Linked DNA regions of Stegostoma tigrinum. The protein of the gene in region 1 purifies or fractionates together with the protein of each later gene. This does not show direct contact. Links are inferred from orthologs where the notes say so. Each region holds a gene or a part of one and is shown on either strand. Other genes may lie near its edges.

What was found.
Region 2: the proteins of lrwd1 (region 1) and orc4 purify together in Homo sapiens (affinity purification with mass spectrometry; 3 studies listed by BioGRID and IntAct, with this or other methods). This does not show direct contact. The link is inferred for Stegostoma tigrinum from reciprocal best matches to the Homo sapiens genes LRWD1 and ORC4.
Region 3: the proteins of lrwd1 (region 1) and orc5 purify together in Homo sapiens (affinity purification with mass spectrometry; 4 studies listed by BioGRID and IntAct, with this or other methods). This does not show direct contact. The link is inferred for Stegostoma tigrinum from reciprocal best matches to the Homo sapiens genes LRWD1 and ORC5.

Annotation. Positions count from the first base shown.
Region 1 is NC_081380.1:9,118,160-9,125,997, reverse strand, and holds the start of lrwd1 (leucine-rich repeat and WD repeat-containing protein 1), read left to right. Parts: upstream 1-4,804; 5' UTR 4,805-4,894; intron 4,895-7,838. UniProt on the Homo sapiens protein: Required for G1/S transition. Recruits and stabilizes the origin recognition complex (ORC) onto chromatin during G1 to establish pre-replication complex (preRC) and to heterochromatic sites in post-replicated cells.
Region 2 is NC_081360.1:83,672,281-83,680,244, forward strand, and holds the start of orc4 (origin recognition complex subunit 4), read right to left. Parts: upstream 3,104-7,964; 5' UTR 3,012-3,103; intron 2,359-3,011; 5' UTR 2,213-2,358; intron 1-2,212. UniProt on the Homo sapiens protein: Component of the origin recognition complex (ORC) that binds origins of replication. DNA-binding is ATP-dependent. The specific DNA sequences that define origins of replication have not been identified yet.
Region 3 is NC_081378.1:23,171,931-23,179,398, forward strand, and holds the start of orc5 (origin recognition complex subunit 5), read left to right. Parts: upstream 1-4,370; 5' UTR 4,371-4,474; exon of another isoform or gene 4,475-4,655; intron 4,656-6,494; 5' UTR 6,495-6,503; coding exon 6,504-6,614; intron 6,615-7,468. UniProt on the Homo sapiens protein: Component of the origin recognition complex (ORC) that binds origins of replication. DNA-binding is ATP-dependent. The specific DNA sequences that define origins of replication have not been identified yet.

The DNA.
Region 1 (7,838 bases):
ACAAACAGAAAATAGATCTAGAAGAGAAAGCTCTGAAACAGAATGTATATTTTCAGATGTGTCTTTCTGTAAGCAACTTCTTATTTATCAGTTCATTGCTTAACTGATGAAGTCTGAGACAGGGATGAATAATCAATCACGGGAAATTTAACCACCCTTCAATAAAATGGCATAAAATGTCAGTTAGAAATGCAGATTCCCTTACAGGCTTAAACAGGCAAGGGACTGACGACAACAGGTGATCCACTTTGGATTTTGGACCAGGAGTCTCAGATTCAAGTTCTACCTACTCCAGAAATATGCAATACATCTCTGAACAGGATGATTAAAATATCTTTTCAAAACGAAAAAGGCTGAGTTCGTAGGCTCATGTGATACAGCAGTGGTGTTTGAGCCAGGAAGCCTGGGTTCAACTCACAGCTGCTCTAGAGATGTGTGATAACATCTCAACAGGCTGCTCTGAAAAACAGCTGCATTCTTGCTACGTATGATTTGGTTGTGGGCTATACAAAAGCAATAAGTTAGTTCTCCTATTTTTGCTGTACTAAACTTTGTGGCATTGCTTCTAAATTATTAATTGTTTAATTAGTGACACAGCTGGTTTGGTGGTGGTTTAAACAAAAAAGCTTCATACAGAGGGTGGTGCGTGTATGGAATGAGCTGCCACAGGAAGTGGTGAAGGTGGGTACAATTACAACATTTAAAAGGCATTTGGATGGGTATATGAATAAGAAGGGTTTAAGGAGATATAGGCCAAATGCTGGCAAACAGGATTAGATCAGTTTAGGACATTTGGTCAGCGTTAACAAGTTGGACCGAAGGGTCTGTGTCAATATTGCATAAGTCTGACTCAATGAAGGGTTCTTGCAGCATAGTGTAGTGTCCTACCTCTGGGCCAGGACATCCAGGTTCAAACCCCATTTGCTCTAGAGGTGAGTATAACAACTCTGAAGAGATTGATTAGAAGATATAAAAAATACTGGTTCTACACCAACATCTTCATGATTTGAGACAGGTCAGCACTGCAGAGGCTGGACTGAATTATTTTCTGCTCCTTCTCTTCCTACATTCCCTATTTTCGTAGTTGCTGCACTTCTTATTGTGGGAGGATCTTGTTAACTGTTATTGTTTAGTTGTTTCAACTAGTTATTGGTGGAGAGTTATCAAAAAGTGCTCGGTTCTAAGAGTGCATGTTGTGCAATGGTAGTGTCCCTACCTTTGATCTAGGAGGCCTGGGTTTACATCCCACCTGCTGCAGACATATTCAGTAACATATCTGCACAGAATGGTTTGACAAAAAAGAAAAAGCCCAGTTCTGACCCAGGAAGTCTTAGGTTCAATTTTCACCAGTTCCAGTGGTACACAACACCATCTCTGGACAGGCTGAAGCAAAGCAGCAGGGGTCTGAGCTAATCAATTATTACTAAAAAAAAGGCCAACTTCTCAATGGGGCCTAGCATAGTGAGTGTTTGCATACAGCACACCAAAGCAATCATAAACCATAAACCTACGGACCCCCAAATCTGTTGTTCATTCACTGCTTTGGATTCTGTGGGCCATGTATAAGTTGGGTGTGGGCAACTGCACCCAGTTGAATTACCTTAGAAATCTTTTGCTGCTCTTTTGATTGCACATCAGTCCCACGCTCTTGATCTTTGGGCACCCAGTCTCCAGGAGTGTGGGCACAGCAGGGGACTTCCTACAGGGCGCGGCCAAGGTGGTTATCAACAGATCCAGGTTAGTTGGTTTTAATTCTGCCTGCCTGCCCCAGTGGTGAACTTTGGGTCTGGATGTCCTCAGTGAGAGGGCGCAACACACTTAATGCCTTCAGAGCGGCAGACACTAGGTTCTGGGGTTTTTGAAGTGGGGGGGAGCAGCTGGAATGCATTATATCCCCTTCTAACTGCACGTTAGTCCCCTCCCCTATTTTTGTTGTTGTTACATTACCCCTGTAGGCAGTGTTGTTCAAGTGCTGTTTAGTTGATAGCTTGGGTGATTTGGTAGGGGGTTTTTTTTTAGGAAAAAAGGGGAACCTTCTCATTTCCAAACAAGTTGATAAGAAAATATTTAAAGTAGTCAGGTTGATTTGAAGGTGGATTTCAAAAAAAAAATCAGCCGAGATCTTTAGGGCTCTTTTGGTGATAGGGATAGTGTCCTTCCCTTTGAGCTGGAAGGCCCAGATTCAATTCCCAACCACTCCAGAAGCATGTCACAACCCTGAGCAGGTTGATTATAAAAGACAGTAGAGTTCTGAAACAGGTGAGTTGGTGGGAGGTATGAAAAAAAAAGCTGAGTTCTAAAAGGCTTTCGTGGTGAAGTGGTAGTAACCATACCTCTGATATAGATGTGTCATAACATGTCTAAACAGATTGATTAAAGAATATCTAAGAATGAAGTTCTTTAGGCTTTTAGAAAAAGACAGCTACTGCTTAGGCTGGAATTCATTATCTCTTCCACCAACAATATTTCAATTTAGTTCCTACCCTCAATTCCCCATCTTTTCGTTTTGTTGGTGCAACAGTTTGACAGTGTTTGTTATTTGTTAGTTACTTAGTTGATTGGACATTGGATATTTCAAAAATGAAAGCTGAATTCTCGAAGCATTGAGAGAGAAACGTACACTGCAAGGCTTTCAGTGCATTATTTCTTCCTCTGATATTATTTTTATTTAATCCCCTCCCTTGTTATTATGGAGAGTATTTAAAAAAATAGGTTGATAGGTATTAAACTTTCAAAAGCCAAGTTCTTTCCCAGTTGGATGTTTGCTTCAGAAGGAAAAGGGGGAAACAGGAGTTTGTTCTACACTACAGATCTACAATAAAACATTTTTGTAAAGTCTGGAAGTCTTTTGTTGCATATGTACACATATTGGAGTTCTTAAGAATGTGTGCAGTTTCTTACAGAGACTGCAAGATCCATATTTTCTTTCACACACTGGGATCAGCTGGTGCCAGCAAATCTAAAATGCTAGCTAACTCAGCAGTTAGTATTTGAGGGACCAAATGCAACCAGTTCTTTTACATTCTGGTTGACAGTGCTGGCATTTTATACATTTACTTTGATGCTTGTTGCATTTTTTTAAAATAACTGCCAATCCTCAAAACAGGATTGTGGTTTAATGGTCACAAATATCTTAGGCAAATACTGTCAGTCATAATAACATAGAGCTACAGGAAGAACGTCAAGCCCTATTTCTAAGTTTAAAAATGCACATTCAGCATTTAATGTGGACACTGATGTGGGTGAAAATGCCAGCACATGGGATTTACAAAGAAGCATTATGATCAGAATCAACTTGCAAGATTAGGATTTCAAGACTAGGGGACAATTTTTTAAGGTGACAGGAGAAAGATTTAAAAGACAAAAGTAGAGGTGTAGTGGACAGAGAAGAACATCACCTCACAGTACAACAGGATCTTGATCAGATGGGCCAATGGACCTAAAAGTGGCAGATGCAGTTTAACTTAGATAAATGAGAGGCGCTGCATTCGCAAAGGCAAATCAGGGCGGACTTATACACTTATTGGCAAGGTTCTGGGGAGTGTTGCTGAACAAAGAGACATTGCAGTGCAGGTTCACAGTTCCTCGAAAGTGGAGTCACAGGTAAACTCAGTGGTGAAGGTGGGGTTTGGTATGCTTGCCTTTATTGGGCACAGCATGGAGTACAGGAGTTCGGAGATCACGCTGCTGCTGTACAGGGCATTGGTTAGGCCACTTTTAGAATACTGTATGCAATTCTGGTCTCCCTACTATAGGGAGGATGTTGTGAAAAAGTTCAGGAAAAATTTACAAGGATGTTGCCAGAGTTGCAGGGTTTGAGCTATAGGGAGAGGCTAAATAGGCTGGGGCCATTTTCCCTGAGGCATTGAAGACACAGGGGTGACAATATAGAGATTTATAAAATCATGAGGGGCATGTATAGAGTGAATAGACAAAGTCTTTTTCCTGGGGCATGAGAGTCTAAAACTAGAGGGCATAGGTTTAAGGGGAGTGGGGAAAAATTTAAAAGGGACCTAAGGGGCAACGTTTTCCATGCAGAGGGTGGTGCGTGTAAGGAATAAGCTGCCAGAGGAAGTAGTGGAGGCTGGTACTACATTTAGAAGGCATTTTGGTGGGTATAGAGTGGTTTGTGTGCATAAGAGGTAGATGCAGGTACAGTTAGTCAGAATGTTTAAAAGCCATTTAGATAAGTTCATGGATAAGAAATGTTTGGAAGGATATGGACCACGAACAAACAAACAGGTGGGACAAGTTTAGTTTGAAATTACGGCAATGGTTAGCATGGACTGGTTATACCAAAGGGTCTGTTTCCATGCTGTATGTCTTTATGACTCTAATGCATGAACTGTCAAATCTATCCATCAAAACACAGTCAGCATACTATGGGGCAGGGGGGGTGGTGGTGGTGGTCAGGGGACGAACAATGGATTGATGAAATCAAATGTGCTAGTTGATGGAGCATTCTACTTTGTGATATGTCATATAACAGAAATTTTACTATGATATAAAAAGCCAAACAAGGAAGGAAGCACTGATGAATTTAACGATGGGAAATATTAATTATAATGGTTAAGTGCTAAGTATAGGGGAGTGTCTAGGAAGTAACAAAAATATAATAAAAAAGTTTCAAGGTAAATATTGAACAGGATCATAAATAAGATAAAAGGACTGTAATATGATCTTCTGTGTATAGCAGTCAAGTAGTAGGTGTAACATTTCAAGAATGAGTGGCCAATTAACCGCATGTCAACAGTATAAGAGAGATTATACTCTACTCAAAGATAATCTGGAAAAATACCAAGAATCTGAAAGTCATAAACACAGTCTCTATGGATTCCAAAGGGAAGATCATGCCTGAACCAGCCTTATTAAAAATTCTGAACAGCAAAGGCAGGTAAGAGTAAATATTTAACTTAATTTGCATTTTAATGGCCTCATTAATCTGTTGCACTACTTTGAGCGATTTTCAAGTTTGCATCCCTCGATCGAGGTTTAACTGCACCATTTAAACTGTATCTTCCCAGGGAGTATGTTGCCTCCTTAGTTTTCACTACAAAAACATTCTAACACACCCCCACCTACATTGTAGTTTGTGCGCCAATTACATACCTATTCTGCAAGTTTTATTTATTAATGTCTTCTTGTATTGTCACCATCCTCCAGTATTAACTATATCCAACAATTTAGTGTCACATTCAATTTGGTACCACTAATTGTGTTCATGTTTGTGAACCTGTGAGAGATACTAGCAACACACTTTGTGGAAGACCGCTTCCCACATTTTTGACAATCTGAATAAGTAGTTTTAACTCACATCTCATGATGGGTGTTTTGTGATAAGCTTGCTTTCATACTGCCTCTTTTCCCTTAACTCCACTTGTCTCGAGTTATAAGTCTACCACACAAGCTAAGCAATATCTTCACATCGTCTACTGCTGACTCCAAAACACACAGTGAATGGAGTTTAGTAGTGACAATCATTGATTATGAGACACATACATTAACATTTAAGTAGAATTCTTTTTATTTTCTTTCAGGGGATGTGTGTGTCACTGGGAAGACCAACATTTGCTGTCCGTCCCTAATTATCATTGAGACATTAGTGGTGATAACCAAGTGGCTCACTAAATCGTGTTAGGTGGGTAGCTAAGAGTTATCCACATTGTTGTAGTTTTGGAATCAGATGTAGGTCAACCCAGCTGAAGGTGGCAGATTTCCTTCCCTAAAAGACAGTAGTGTACCACAAGGGTTTTCATAACAAATCAGTAATAGTCTCACAGTCACTGTTACTTAGATGAATTGCAACTCTGAAAATGAAAAGCTTTTAGCACTTTTGTAATGCTGTATCATTTTCATTACCATTTAGATAGATCATACTGATTTTGCCCTGCACAACTGAAGCATATAATAAATAATCTACAGATTTATGACATTGTTGAATAGCTTGCAGTTATCATGTTGATGCTAAGACAGTGTTACGTTCTCGAGACAAGTGTGGATGCTTTGTGTTGTGACTTTTTGATATTGCAAATTCTGATATTTCAGTTAATTATTCAATTTAATTACTTAAGTTAAATAACGATGCATGTCAAGAGTTAAAGAGATGATAGTGAATGAAAGTCTAAGTATGTCCCTCATGTTAAATAGTGCAAGGTTTTGAGAATCATAATAGCACGATTAATTTGGAGGTTGACTTTAAATTGTGTCTCATGTCTTGTTCAAATTTGAGATCAGAATAATAGAAATCTGAGTGTATTATAAGGCCAAGCTGTAACAATGAATTCAGAAACCCTAAACTACAATGTAGAGAATCCAAGCTGTATAGAAATGGCACCAGAATTCTACAAAAGGGCTGAACCAGCAACTTGCTGTGAAATAAAATGGCGGTGTGAAAACCAGCAACTGTTACCACTTTTAGTAGTCAAACTTAACTTAATTATATATTTACATGTGAATGAGGACAGGAAAAGAACTACTTCTGAGAATCATTTAAACTACTCCTAATTTGTGCACACATTGGTGATCAAACCACAAATCTGAGCTAAATAAAAAAAAAAGACTGTGGGTGCTGGATTGAGTTTCGGTTTCTAGAAGAGGCCAGTCTTGTAGGAGCCTAGAGAGATGTTTGCAAGAAACAACAACAGAAAACCACAGTACAGTCTGATCCTGTTCTCTCTGGATATCCATATAAATGGGCTTCCTAGCAAGGGTCAAAGGACTGATTAACTCTCTTTAGCACAGAGAAAATGGGGTTAATTTTGATTGCTGTCTTGCTATTATTAGGTGAACTGGCACAAACTGTGGATTGATACGGGAACATTGTGTAGTACAAAAAAACAGGCTGGTACATCCTGCCAAGGCATCAGGCAGCATATTCACACTTTTATTCAATAAACCATTACTGGGATAGTTTATAACAAAAGGTAACAATTTATTTGGAAAACAATCCAGTTCAGTACCCTCTTCACATGCACTATATATCCCAATCAGACAGGCGCTACCCATCCCCAGTGTTGCAAAGGATGGGTCTTGCCTTGTTGCCACAGAACACCCCACATAGTTGGGCCATTCCATACCACCTGTCCTTAACAGAGACCACAAGTCCTTCAGGACTTGGTCAGCACGTAGTGTCCTAGAGATCCTGCAGGGAAATGATAGGGTAGATCCTGTCAGGTTGTTCTTGACCAGACTGTCAAAGTCACTAGGCAGAATGCCTCAACGCCAGAACTTTCTAACAAGCACCAAGACATCACTTGGCTGGTGGTGAGAAGGGCACTACTTGTGAAATCCTTCACGTATGCCCAAAAAAGATGCAGTGATTTTTGTCGAGGTTCATCCTGAGCAGCTCCATGATGCAGGATTTTGTGCTATAGGTTGCACACCAAGACAAACATTGACAGCTGTGCCTGTAGGATCATAAACTCGGTGAAAGACACTCTTTGGCCTGCCCAAAACTTGTTGGTCTTCCAGAGCAAGGAGTTGCCTTTGACTGAGTGTTGCTGACTGGCACATTTTAAGGTCCAGGACTACGCGCTGAAGGACACAATAAAGCCTGGGGCAGCTGCTGCCAAGACACAGTCAAGAAAGGCCATCGTCTAAAATCTTTCTGCAGAGGTTAAATTGAGGTCCATTCAGTTATCGGATCCTCCCAATGCCTCACATACATATAAATATCATCCTGTACAAGTACAAAATGCCTGTGGTTTGTTTGTTGGATAGAGTCAAACTCCAGTGTTTGTTTCTTCATACGCTACTATACAGAACCAAACTGCTTCAGTGACTATGTATGCATATAAAGGTATTTTTAAGAATAAATTATATTTGGGATTTTTTAAAAA
Region 2 (7,964 bases), on another chromosome or scaffold:
AATCTTCTCAAAAACTTTAATCATTATGAAGCGCTTTGAGAGGTTAGTAATAGCACACATTAACTCCAACCTCCCAAAGTGCCTTGATTCTCTACAATTCTCCCATTGTCACCATTGGTCTATGGCAGATGCCTTACACTCAACCCCAGAACATCTGAATAACAAGGACACCTATGTCCGACTCCCATTTACTGGCTTGAGCTCTACCTTCAACACTAATTCTAGCCAACCTCAGCTCCAAACCAGAGACCTAGCACTCGGCTTTCCCCTTCTGTAACGGGATCCTGATCCACAGTCTGCAAACTGTAAGGACAGGCGACAACACCTCCTCCACAACAATCCTCAACACTAGTGCCCCACAAGGCTGCATACTCACCTCCTTACTATACTCCTTAAACACTCGCTACTGTGGCCAAATTTTGCTCTAACTCCACTTAGATGTTTGCTCATAACACCACTGTAATGGGTTGGATCTCCAACAATGATGAGGCAAAATACTTGAAGACGACAGAGAGCTTAGTGGCATGGTATAAAAGGCAACAATCTCTTTCAAATGTCAGCAACATGAAGAAGTTGGACATCAACTTCAGGAAGTCGAGTGCAGGACATGCCCCTGTCAATATCAATTGTGCTGAGAGGAGAATGGTCGAAAGCTTCAAGTTCCTAGGAATAAATGTCACCATTTATCTATCCTGGTCTATCCACATTAATGCTACAGTCAAGAAAGCACACCAACTTTTCTGTATCCTCCAAACTCGGAGGAAATTTGGAATGTCCACATGAATTACCAATTTTTATAGGTGCAGCATAGAAATTATCCTATCTGTTTGCATCACGGTTTGATATGGCAACTGCTCTGCCCAAGACTGCAAGAAATTAAATGAGTTGTGAATATAACAGTCCATCACACAAATTAGCCTTCCTTTCACTGTCTCCATCTGTACTTCTCCCTGCCCTGGGAAAGCAAACAATATAATCAAAATTCTGTCCTACCCTAGTTAGACTCTCTTCCACCCTCTTTCATTGGGCAGAATATTCATAAGTTTGAAAACACATAGCAACGGATTCAAGAACTGCTTCTACACTACTTATCAGAGTTTTGAATGAATCTCTCATACATTGAAGTGGTTCCTTCTCTGTTGCTATTACCCTGATGTCAGATATGATTTGTCTCAACAGTAGTTTTCACTATTTCAGCACATGCGACAATAATAAATTATGCCATAATAACCCTCACGTTAAAATTCACAAAGAGCAGAATATATTCAAATTAAGAAAAAAAAAAAATCACAAGGCAATTTCACACAAAATATTGTTCACAGACAACCATGAAACGAACTTTGCGGCAACTGTAACAAAAACTAAAAGCAACACTGACTAAATAATAGAGGAACCCAAGATTGAATTGCAGAATTTTCTTCCATCTTGAATTCCTCAGATAATAAAACTCCAAGGTCACAGTTTTAATCATCATCTAATTTCTGCAAAATTAATTTTGACAGCAACTAGTTCAACATAATACTGAGCTTCCATCCAGTCCTCTTCTCTCTATTTCACCAATGTGTAACATCAAGTAACCATCAGATGATGCTTCTCTCAGTTTATAAAGAAATCCAGAACAGAAAACCAGCAGCATGACCCTGTCCAGCAATTCTTTCGCTGACTGCACCAGGCTGAATCCTCTAGATTCCCTACATTGCTACAGGATGTGCACCATTGATCAGAGGCTGCTTTCCTTCCGGCATTCTGCTTGGTCGTCAATAGAAAGACACATTCTTCTCTTAATTACATTCGGCGGCAACCGTTCAAGTGTGCATGAAACACTTCTTTCTGAAATCTGAGACAGAATGTCTGCCCAGAATCAACCCCAGCAGATCTTTGTATCAGGCAAAAAAATTTTCTACGTTGCTCTTGTCTAACCTCGATTTGGACGACTCCCATTTCGGTTACTGAACTGAACAGATTACAATATCTCCACTAAACAATTTTACCTTGAACTAGGAAACGATTTCAAAATAAAATCGCTTTATACCGTATCATTCACGACGTAATTTGTTTTACGTAAAGTTAACTCGAGGATCGGATTTATATTCGACCATCAAATTACGAAAGAACACACATTTTAAAATTGCATATAAAGTGGTTCACGACATTTGATTTAAAGGCAGGCAAATCCTTCTAGTCATTTCAGCAATTACAATGATACATTTACCGTTGAAATTCGACAAGCAGAACCGTCCGTGTCACTAACTACCCTCAGTAATGAGTCTTCAGAATTCAGCGAAAAAAACCCAGCGATACCTTCCTCCAAAAGTGCCCAATGAGGTAAGCTCGCTGACGAAAATCCGCCGATGAAACCTGCAACATGAAAGAAGGCATTTGGTCCGCTAACAAGCATCAAGAGTCGATAGTGACAAATCATGCGATCAGAAAACGAAACCATGAACACGTTACACCAAATACAAATACAAACTCTACGTCGTGGAACAAATACAGCGTTTATTGTGACACAGGCACAATCAACAGAAAATGATGGAGGCATCAGAAAGCTCCCATAAAGAAAGGGGAGGATTATATTGTCCAGATTTCAAGTGCGGCTCCTTCATCAGCCTCTCCACCACTACTTTACCGTCTCCCCTAAAAAAAAATTTAAAAACCCAAGACCAGAACACGAACAACAAAAATTGAAAATTTCTAGCCGTTCGATGAGGGGACGTCGGAACACAGAACAAATGCGTAAACCCTTGTGATAGAACAAACTGCTGCCTCCCAAGCTTTTAAAAAACCCTGAATAAGATCAAATACGTTTTAAAAGAAAAAAATTCTAAATAAATAAAAGTGCGAAGAACACATAACAGGCGACAGGTGATGGAAAAGCTAGAAAACAACAGGTGAGTCAAAAATAAGGACCAAGAGTTCTGAACCTAGCGTGATATATAAAACATAAATAACTTTGTACACAAAATAATAAAAGCACCATATTTAAAGTGCATCAGCCAGACCACAAATACCTGAGCGAGGCCCAGTGGCTCCAACGATTACTCAGGTAACCACGACTCCTTTTATATAGTCCCACCCACCGCCCTCCGCTCTCTGACCTTTGATGACCTCCCACCTACACGTCACACGACAGGGTCCGCCCTATCTCCCCTTCCCCGGAGCATTCTGGGTAATTGTGTCTTGGGACATGCGCAGTGCGCCGGGTATTTTCAGCTGCAGGTTTTTTTTCCTCTCGTTCTCTCTTGCCCCGCTCCCTCTGTTTCTCTCTCCGTGGCTTTATCTCTCTCCCACCTTCTGTGTTTCCGAGTAAAGCCTCCATAAAGTCTCCAGAAATAAAGCGGCCGATTCTCCTTTTTGTTATTATGAGTCTACATTCCCAACCGGATACATCCCGAGCGTCTGAAAAACTTCCTGGATACCTCCCTTAACAACCAGCCGACCTCCCGGGCCTGGCCAGCAGCCTTTTAAGTGCCATTTCAGCCCTTTATTACCCTTTGTTTTTGAGTTTTTCTGAAGCGAAAGCTTTGGAGAGGAGAGAGTTAAAGGTAAGTGGTTGCAAAGCAAATCTGGCCTTTTTTATTTAAAAATCCGTATTTTATTAAAATGAAGTGCAGATTTTGGAGTATTATATAAATATATCGCTGTGTTGAGAATGAAATCTTATTGAAGTTGGGAGTTTAGGGTATAATTTTTTGATATGTATATTGCAGGAGAGGGACGTTGCTGGCTCTTGAAAATGGGGTTTAATCTGGTTTAAAGCCTTCTATTTATCCGCCCCCTCTTTGCTGCTGATGATGATGATGCTACGTTGCAGGCCACGGCCATGCGTGACTGCTGTTTACAACAGTCCAACTTCAGCTCTTGTGGGTATCAACCCCGCAGTAATAAGAAGGGTTGTTCCATCCTGATGCAATAATGTGTTCGTATTTGGAACCTCTGGAGAGTGTTTGGAGTAGGGTCATCAATATGGTACACGAGTTCTCATCGACTGGTAGTTAAGATACCGTCATGTTTGTGATTTTTCATATTTTGCATATTTATAGGCCCAATAGGATGTGGAGTACAATATGTAGCGTTTTAGCCCTAAAGAAACGTTTAGAGTTGAAGGATTTCAGTAGTTTGGTCGTCTTGCACGCCACTGTTATATTTTTATGACAAAAATACGTGAAATTAGTGTTTTAACAGTGCACTGATAGCTAGAGTTAAAGGATGCAGTAACTCATTGTGTGGATAAATATTTTAATTTTTCAATGTAATTGTTGAAATGATCCCTCAATGTGAATCTGCTTTTCCTTGAAAAAGTGCTGCCTTTTTTAAAACAAAGAAACTTTTAAATCATTTTTAGATGCATGTGAGAGATGTATTTCGAATTTGTATGTTGTGTATAGCAGCAAATAATAGTTTAATAGTTTAAAGTTTCATGTTAATGTTCTGCAGTTTTGCTTGTTTTGAAATGAGAAATTCACAATACTTTTTTTGCAAGTTGCTGAAATATGTTTTGTGTTTGTGAGTACTATTAATATCTTCTGTAGGTCTAAATTAAAATTTAAAATTATTAAACTTTTCCACATTTCTTTAAGTTTTCCATCTCTTATTCTCCTGGTTTTTGCTCTACATGAGTGCCAGTAGGCTGATTTTTCTACTCCTGGAAGGAAATAATAGATGTAATGGATGTGTTTGACAGGTACGATCTCTTTGGGGTTTAGATGGCTCCAACCAGATATAGTGAGGGAAATTTGAAATCAGATGGACCTTGTGTTTTAAATTTGGTAATCTGTTACTTAAACTAATCGGGTCTGCATTATTTCAACACGCTGTTAATTTGACCAGCCAACTTATGGCTTTCAAAAGATTGGACTTATTATTGTGCTCTGACGTTTCTGCCCATTCGACTGCAAATAACTGTGAAATAGCTCGATATGTAAGTTGGTCCTTGCTCAGATGAGCATTTGTGATGAGTTGCAACTTTTTAGCCTTTGCATGTACTTAAGAGTCCCTAGGCCTTCGTTTTGTCCTTCTGTACCGATCTTCATTGGTGTTGAGTAAATGGGAAGTATGTCTGAAGTGAGCATTGGGCACACAGAAACCTTAGAGTTTTGTCTGTATTTTTCAACAGCTTGATTTGAAGACTGTTCCTGCCATTCCTTAGTTAGGAGACTTGATGATTGAAAACTAAAATCATTAATTTATTTTTGTTCTTTAAAATTTGCCAACTCTACAGATCTGAAAAATAGATATAGGTGGTTTTAGCTGAGAGTACTTCTGAGTACTTTAATTTGGTTTCTTATTCTGCTTTTCATTTTATTTTAGCTCAAATGAGTGGTAAACATTCTTGATATAACAATATATTGTCAAGTTTAATATTCCAAAATGACTTATTTTTACATCATTTTTACTTCTACGTATGTCAAGTGGTTCAGTTAGTTTTGATCAGTGTTAGTCATGGTAAATAAATTTAACAGAATTATTGATACATGTAGCAATGTTTATTATTTTTCCAAGTTTATTAAGCATATGTTGCGTTTTCACTTTTCATAATCAGGAAATTTTAAATGGAAGGTTGGAAATTTGTGAAGCTTTTAAAACTTGCATAAAACTTAAATAACATGCCTTGGAAAAGTAGTATAAGCATCTGCATATATATTCTTCAAAGTATGTTATTCCTGTTTTAACTCTTCTGAATGACCTGATGTTCATTTAACACATGTTCTCCTATATGTGTTATGATTAATATATGCTATCTTCTGTCAAAATGAAGACACTTAATAATTGATGGTACAATCTTTAATGGAATGCACGCTAAGAAATGATTCTCTTCAGCTGGGGCATTTAAAATATGGGATGACAGCTATAGAACAAGGGGTTGGGCACTTTGGATTAAGGTGAGCAGCAGTTTCTTCACTCAGCCTTTAGGAATTGCAGAGAGAGAGAGAGAGAGAGAAAGAGAGAGATGCAGATCCTCTGTCATTCGGTATGTTTAAGACAAGTGTCGATGGATTCCTGGGTTACAAAGGAAATTCAAGATTGAGTGGATAGTGTGGGATGGCAGAGTTGAACGAGATCTTGATGGATGACAGGCCAAGTTTGAAGCGCGACATTACCCATTCCTATTTCATATGTTCTTATGTGTACACCAACCTATATTAGATCATGTTGTTTATTTACTAATGTAACTTTGCCTTACTCAAGTCAGCTAATGTTCATTGCTCAGTTTGGTTTTGTTGTAATTATATTGCCACAGCAATATATCTAGAGACTTCGATCAACATTTCTCAACACTCCGATTTTATGCTCGGCACAGTCTTTATTTTGGGGAAAGACAGAAAGGACATACAGACTTAAGAGAAGTAGTTGAGGTTTCAGATTGACCTTTTGTCAGAACTGAAAAAGTTAAATGCGTAAAAAAAATTTAAGGAAGCTCAGTGGGAGAGAAAATGGGAAGTGAAGACAAAAAGGATGATGGTGCAAGGGCAAGAGTAAAAAATAAAACATGTTCTAAAGGTGGTGAAAATGGGGATAGCAGAATCATCAACAATTTTTGTTTTTGTCCTAAAAAATGAAAGCAATGTGAAATTGAAGAAGGTCTGTGGAGTCTGGTAGCTATGAAGTACCTAATCAAAAGATAAGGGGTTGTACGTTGAGCATTGAGAGGTCATCGTGGGGATCAAGTGGAGAAATGAAAACAGCCGTAAACATTGGCACTCATATATGGGCAGAACAGTGGTGTTCCACAAGGAAGTCACCCAATCTATAATTATTCCAACATAGAAGGAGCCACATTATTTCCAGCAGACACTAAATTGAAAAGTTTCAAAAGAAATTGTGTAGATGAAGCATCTGGATACTTGGAAGAAGGCAATGGCAGAGATAAAATGGCATAATTATGCTTGCTTGATGGGGAGGTTCTGTAATGAGGAAAAAAATTGTTCCGTCTCTGTTGTCCCCTTTTGGTTTCCATGTCAGAACTGTGAGGCGCCTTTGTTCTCACCACACATTCAACGAGCTTTCATATCTTTCAACATTAGTGCCACCTCTGCCATGAACTCCTTTCCAAACATATCTTTCCCTTCTCTTTCAGCATTTCAGAGTCCGTTCTACCCAGGTCCATTGTTCATTTGTACCTGACTTCTTTTCCCTTCACATGAAAAATCTGTGGTTTACTTCTATACAAATTCATGAAGCAACTCACCTTGAGAGATATTTTCTACAATCAAATTGAGAGAATCAAAAACAACATGCTCAAGGGTCATAAAATCTTTCCTGACCATCCTACTTTGATGACACTGAAGCAACTGAAAATTAATTATAATAAATCAGAGGTCTTTTCATCTGCGGAGCATAATGTTGGTAATCTTTCATGTGGATTAAGCTGTTATATTGTAAAGGACTAAAACTGGTGCCTTTAATTTGTAAACCATTTTGAATTACATGCTTCTGTCATGGACATGAGGCAGACCAGTTTACATGCAACATATGGATCTGTCAAGGAACTGAAGAAATATTTAAAAGTAGAGGCTATGTATTTGAAGGAAGAATATTTTCATTCAGTAGGTGACAGTACATGACTGATTAGTGTTTTTTGGCATGCTCATTAAGAGGTGGAAATAAAGTTACTTCTTGTACTTAACGATCTAGTATTAATTTAAATCGATTCCTATTTTGTATGCTGTGAAGTACTACAGTTCCTCGCAATGTGCTGTTAACCTCGAGATAAGATCTTGTGTATTTAACAATATTTCAGTTTATTGATATGGAGTAGGCTGCAATTCTAGATTTATTTTTGTTTATTCATGGAATGTTCTGGGCAGTTTATTGTGGATTTGGAAAGTGTGTGTATATTAACATTTGAAAGGGACTAATAAGGAAATTAACTTCTGACCCTTCTTATCACACTGTTTGGACATCAACATGACAGAAAAGGTAAGAAACCTGAAGCAGCATTTCACTTGAAATTCCTATTTAGA
Region 3 (7,468 bases), on another chromosome or scaffold:
CATGGGATCGATAATTTAAGTAGTATCAAAGAACCAAAGCCTGGAAACTTGAAGCATGATTCAACAGTTTGGGATAACAGCCATTTTTACGTTTTGGAACTTTATAAAAGTCCAGCTGTGATCAACCATTTTATGCAGAAATCTCAAGAGAATCATCTGAGCACCATTATGAAACATGCTATGAACAGTGAGACAGAGACTACTGTATCTTAACCTGAGAACCAAGAGGCACAAATTGCAATGCCATAAAATTGAATGAAAGGAGTCTCCACTCACACACAGGATCTGTTCATCTCAGTTTACCAATGGGAACAACCTCCAACCACTGGATTCCAGAAGCCAAAGTTGCAGAATTTAATTTCAATTTTCAAACCCACCACTTAAGAAAAACAATCTTCAATCAAGTCAGACCTGCAATGAAATTGGAGTTTGGTTTTTTTTTATCTTAACATGTAACTTTTATCTTACTCACTTAAAATATTTAAATCTGTGTTTCATCTAATAATGTGGTAATTTTTTAATGTAAATATTTTCCAACAATAAATGTTTTATAAATTAACATTTTACTTTGTTAAAAACACAAAGTTGTGCTACAGATTAACTAAATTAAAAGCAGTCAAAAACTGAAACAGCTCTACAGAAAAGATTGTACGAATTCTTAGATCACAGACCACTCTGAGTGTATGTCTGAAGTGTGGTCATGACAAGAAGGTTGTAAAATCAGTTAAGCAGCACCAACCTGATATTGGTAACCCTCAGGTTTATGCCAATAGGCAGAGTGAAACAGCAAGGAATTTTTTAAAAACGTGCCGATACGTTTTCAATTAACGGAAGTCTAGGTGTTTTAAACACCTTTAAAATCACAAAAGCTCCATTTCACAGTTCCTCTTTTTTTTTGACAAACGCATTTGCCATTTCCTTTTGATAGCTGTGTTGACAATTATAATAGACTCAATGTGAATGAGCTGCGCACCTTTTGTGTACATTCATGTCTACTTTTAACAAGTCGAACACACACACTTTACCTCTCCCAAAGGGCAATTTGACTCTACCAAAAGGTCTCCTTGCACTATACCTAAAGGGATACCCTACCTTTCCAAAAAGATATTCTCAATATAAAAACAAATCCACAAACTTTAGACCTCTAAACCAGGAGAATCCAAGATAACAAAGTGTATAGCTGGATGAACACAGCAGGCCAAGCAGCATCTTAGACGCACAAAAGCTGACGTTTCAGGCCTAGACCCTTCATCAGAGAGCCATAAAAGCTGACGTTTCGGGCCTAGACCCTTCATCAGAGAGGCAAGTGGCTTTTCACAAACCTGAGTCACTGCAGAGAATAGAGAATCTGAGATAACAACGTGCAGAGCTGGATGAACACAACAGGCCAAGCAGCATCAGAGAAGCAGGAAAGCTGATGCTACCTCAGAATAGAGAATGTTGTTTTTGGGCTGCAGTGGGTGGGGTTAATTGTCTGAGTTTTGGGCTCCTTTGCCACTTTCACAATGATGAAGAGATTCTCTTTCATTTCAAAGATCCAGGTCCATGTTGAAAGATATTTAATTGGCTTTAATGCGCTTTGGAATATCTTGAGGTCATGAAAGCTCTAAAGAAAGTACAAGTCTATAATTTTTGTATTGTATGGTTGCTAATTACTGATTAACTCGAAATTGACAACAATAGTAAGTGTGCAATTTAACACAATGTTTTACTCATAATAGTGGGTGCTGATAGCCAGATGTAAGTCCCTCAGCCCACAGAACAATTTACAGTAATTAAAACACAGTTTATTTCTGATATCAACAACATATCTCAAGAACAAGAAACTCTTTAATCTTTACTATTACACTGAAACACACCCACAGCTGATTCAATTCAGGATAATATAAAGTTGAATTAAGTTTGTTGATGCTAATTGATGTTGCTGAGAAAAGAAATGGATACGGCTGAGCCAAAATCTAACAAACAGAAATGATGCAACTGACTGGAGCTGTAGCTCTAACATTTTAAACGAAGGACCCTTTGCTACTAGCTCTCAAAGTTCAACACCTCTCCCTTTCGATTAAGATCAATGCCACAATCCTGTAAAATATGAACCATTTTATATAACTTGGGTGCCTCCTCTTGATGAAGGCAGACAGATTATGACATCTATTATCACCTACAATGTCCCAGCTCAGCCTATGGTGTATTGAAAAAAGTATCTGAGAAGCAGAGATCTCAAATATGAAACTAAGATCATGGTTTGCTGAGCACCAGTGAATACCACACTTTCATGCTTTGGAGCATATAAAACATGTAGGAAGCAACTGAGAACATCGTTCAAGTACCATCAGTGGAGCTTTCGCAAGGTCCTCCAAATCCAGTGACAATTCAATAGCAATGTCCTGTCTGAAATCATTATATCCAATATCAGAGATAATGGGAACTGCAGATGCTGGAGAATTCCAAGATAATAAACTGTGAGGCTGGATGAACACAGCAGGCCAAGCAGCATCTCAGGAGCACAAAAGCTGACGTTTCGGGCCTAGACCCTTCATCAGAGAGGGGGATGGGGAGAGGGAACTGGAATAAATAGGGAGAGAGGGGGAGGCGGACCGAAGATGGAGAGTAAAGAAGATAGGTGGAGAGAGTGTAGGTGGGGAGGTAGGGAGGGGATAGGTCGGTCCAGGGAAGACGGACAGGTCAAGGAGGTGGGATGAGGTTAGTAGGTAGCTGGGGGTGCAGCTTGGGGTGGGAGGAAGGGATGGGTGAGAGGAAGAACCGGATAGGGAGGCAGAGACAGGTTGGACTGGTTATGGGATGCAGTGGGTGGGGGGGGGAAGAGCTGGGCTGGTTGTGTGGTGCAGTGGGGGTAGGGGACGAACTGGGCTGGTTTAGGGATGCAGTAGGGGAAGGGGAGATTTTGAAACTGGTGAAGTCCACATTGATACCATATGGCTGCAGGGTTCCCAGGCGGAATATGAGTTGCTGTTCCTGCAACCTTCGGGTGGCATCATTGTGGCACTGCAGGAGGCCCATGATGGACATGTAATCTAGAGAATGGGAGGGGGAGTGGAAATGGTTTGCGACTGGGAGGTGCAGTTGTTTGTTGCGAACTGAGCGGAGGTGTTCTGCAAAGCGGTCCCCAAGCCTCCGCTTGGTTTCCCCAATGTAGAGGAAGCCGCACCGGGTACAGTGGATGCAGTATACCACATTGGCAGATGTGCAGGTGAACCTCTGCTTAATGTGGAATGTCATCTTGGGGCCTGTATCCAATATCAAGGTGTTAATCACCCAAAATTCTGACTGAGTGCAGGGACAGAACATTTTGTTCATAAGCCAAACAATATTCACTTAAAGCTACTGCTCTACTTGGTAATTAGTGGTAGCAGGAGCAACCAACCCCACCACCCCCTGCAGGAGGACAATGAAAATACTTTAGGGCAAACCTTGAATGATTCCGAAGAGGCAAAGTGTCCAAGCAGACTCATAGAAATCCTTGGCTTGACTGACCAAAATAGAGATGGCTCAATTGGGAAAATACCAAACCCATTAAGGGGAATGAATAAAGGTAGTCGAGGAGCCAGAGATGTGAGTGCACAAATCTCCCAACAGCTCATCTCTCTACCCTTCGAAGCACACCTACCCCATTTGTCACCGAGTCTGAAAAATGGACTTGTCAGCTACCTCAGGACCCATTGAACACAAAGTGAAAGCAAATCATCCACAATTCTAAGGCACTGCTTATGAAAGAGACAAAAATTCAATCAAAGGGAGAATGACATTGAAGACTAACTTATCACTCAGTAACCATGGTAAACATCATGAACAAAAAAAAACGCGAACACTACTCAGATATATTTAAAACCAATCAACTTTGACATTGCTGAAGATTGCCTTGTTTCTTCAAGCAAAACTTCCAAGACTAACTATACTACAAATAAGGCTGTGCTATTTTGCAGTCTATGAGTCCTGCCTTTTCATTCCTTTTTCTGCGCCCACGTTCTTCCTCAAAACCTATTAGATTTCTGGAATAAAACAAAGAACTGCAGATGCTGGAAATCTGAAACGAAAAACGTAAAATGCCAGAGAAACTCAGCAGGTCTGAAATTGTAACTTTTTTTCTCCACTCATCCGGCCAGACCTACTGAGTTTCTTCTGAACTCTTTCTATTACATTACTAACCTTTTTGCACAATTCTGAATTAAAGATAACTGAAACGAAACGCTGGCTCTGATTCCCTTCTCCACAGATGTTACTCGATCTGCTGAGAACTTCCAGTATTTTGTTTTCGTTTCTTAAATGAATTTGGGTTCCTCCGCCCACAAACTACAAGTCCCAGTGTGCTGCGTGTTCTGACACCTGCGCAGTAGGATCGCGGGTGGTGGGGTGAAAGTTCATGGAAGGAGGTTTTGGCGCGTGAGAGTCCGATTAACCCGGGAAGGAGACGGTATTGGGGTCGCGTGGTAATTTTGACTAATGGTTACGGTTGGTGAGTGCCGGGCTAGTGTGGGGAAATGACCCCGTGCTTTCCGCGGATCGAACAAAAGATTGCCAGGTGATTTCAAACCCGTTGGAGTATGAAGCTGATTTTAATCTGTGACGTGTTTTTCTTTTAAAAAATAATAACAATTCACATTAAGAAGATTTGGTCCAAGTGAGGAAAATAACAAGTAAGACCAAGTTAGCGGCCGCTGTAGGTGGTTGGCTTTTTTCTTAAACGATCCGTTAACTGTTAAATTGTTTAAAGCCTATGATGCATTCCCCAAAACGTTTTGGCGTCTTAAATGGAATCAGAAAGGTGGATTCACACGAGAGTTTTGAGTTTTTACACAAAATGTTTTTAGATTGAACAACTTCCCTCCCCATATGTTTTAGTTGCAAACGTTTTTATCTTTATACAGGCAAATTTTAAAAATAAACACTCCTATAGCTTTCGTGCTGACAATTCAAAACAGCAAGGGGAATTGGTGTTCTGCCGAGAATGCTCACTTTTGTATTTCACTCTGGAGGAATCCCAATTTGTTTCTTCTATCTTAATTGCCTGGTTTTTACATTTTTTTTGCTTTTTAAAAAAATTTTGTGTATTTCTGCTATGCTCCACCCTCTTACAAACTTTCCCTCTGATTATATTTCCCACCATAACTACTCATTCCAGCCCTTGACACTTTTCACTTGCTGAAAACTTGATGCACTTTTTCTTTTGTCCTACTCTGATCGGAAACATCTGAGATGTTTACTTGGTTTTGCTCAGCACATGTTTTGTCAGGCCTGTTGTATTTCCAGCATTTCCTGTTATTTCAAATTTCTGCCATCTGCAATTTTTTTTCTTTGTTTGAGAGACAGTAAATAATTTTCTGATGCATGCAGCTCATTTTTACTTATGATGTAATGTGAACTATGTTGCAACTTAAGTCTTAATGGAAATTTTGGAAATTACTGCTGACTACAAATATTTAAGTAAATGTTTGAGCATTTGGATGCAGAAACATGACCGATTAAATCACAAATCAGAATTGCCTACGATTGCTTCGGTTTCAGGTTTGTTGTATTATTAATTTGAAATTCTCATTCTTGTTTCGAAATTCCTTAATGTCATTGCTTTACTTCCATGCTCTTCTGACTCTGACTTCTGTGCACCGTCTTCTCTCTTTGCCCAACCGTTGGTGAATTGCCTTCAGTCCTCAGCTGTAGAGATTTCTACTTCTAACTGCATCTAACTTCTAACTTTGAACTTTTTGAGATGCGTACTAAATCTTCCACCTCATCTTTCAAGTGCACCTCATGATGTTTTTGTTTTGCTGAATCTGATTCTATGAGGGTATGCTTTAGCATATTTTCTGATGCTTAAAAGTATTATATAATTGCTCATTGTAGTTACGAAAGTGAGGAAGAATGAGGCTGCAGATCGAAAAAAGTCTACAAATTAAATAATGCCACATAAGACTTGATTCATTGAATACCGCATATGTTTTTATTTATACTTCCTTATCAATCTGTTTGGAGTTGTCATTACACATCTCTGGAGCAGATGGGACTTGACGCTAGGCCTCCTGGCTCAGAGGTAGCGCTGCACCACAAGAGCCTTTTTAGGCATCTTGTATACATTTGCAGGATGCAGACACTAATCTCCTGACAGGATAGCCCAAGAACGGGATCCGTGTTATGCCTGTCCTCTTGTCCTTGAGGTAGCCATTACTGTACTGTGTCTTTATGACTGAAATTTGCAGTCCGTTATTTTGTTTGCAACCTGATTTGCTATTATTCAAAAATGGAAGCCTTTTATTATGAAGGTTTAGGTGTCCTATTTGTTCCAAATGTGATAGATCTGTTTCTATCAACATTACACCATAGAAATTATTTTGAAAATGAATAGTGTAGGTAAACAAAGTATCACATTCTTCAAAGCATCAATAATTGCGTAAGTTGATACCTATACGAAATAGTGAGAATAATCTTTCAATATGTTTAATTTATATTTTATAATCTAAGGGAGAACTTTGTTCCTACAGTTTGTAAAGATGTCTAAACTTAATCATGGTGAATATCCAGAAGACAGAATCCTCTTACTGAAAGAGAAATTGATTTGTCGGGATCCTCAGATTTTAACTCTGCAATCAATACTGGGAGAGGTAATTTTGTATTTTAAATGAATTGGCTGAATTTTGATGCCATATTGTTAGGCCAAAATTCTGAGGTGGACCTTTGCTGTTCATGCCTTTGAGGGATTTACATGCATGCTTAATTTGTGCCCAGGAACGACCATTGTAAGGAATAAAATGGATAACAGTAAAGAATGTAAATTGATTCAGTAATATTTATTTTATATTGTATTAATGTAAACATTCAATTTTGTTCAATATTAATGAAATGATAAAGCAACTACAACACTTAATATTGAATTCCTTCAAAATCACGAACCTCCATCTGAATTACCAAATGATTTGTCCGAACATCCTGATTGGATAACAGCATGTGGACCTTCATCATCGTCTTCATTATTGTTAGCATCATTGTTATTGGATTCCTGTGATAGATGGTGTAATTTTTTTCACACTTGTTCTTGCATCTCGTGCATCATTTGACATTGGCCTTCAATTCTGAAATCTCATTGTTCTTTGCATCTGCTGTCAGTGCAGAGTTGGTTGGTGCTGCAGTCGATAATACAGCAATTTTACCAATGCTTGTTAACTCATTCTGCCAAGTTTTTCTTTAGTTTAAATTAGGCTTTATACTTGTTATTCTGTGTCAAAGTTATCATGATAGATTATGTTGTACATTAGTCTTATTGGATGGGAGATAATTGGTAGAAAAAATCTGAAGTTTCCAGGGTGCTTTGAATAAATACAGTTCATTAATTTACTATGCAATACTAATAATCACAGCCTATCTTTCAGATAACCGTGGGTGAGAAAAACTAGTTCGATGAGATTCTCTAGAACTTTGTTTTAAGAAATACACACCTCCTGTAGATGTTTCAGTAATT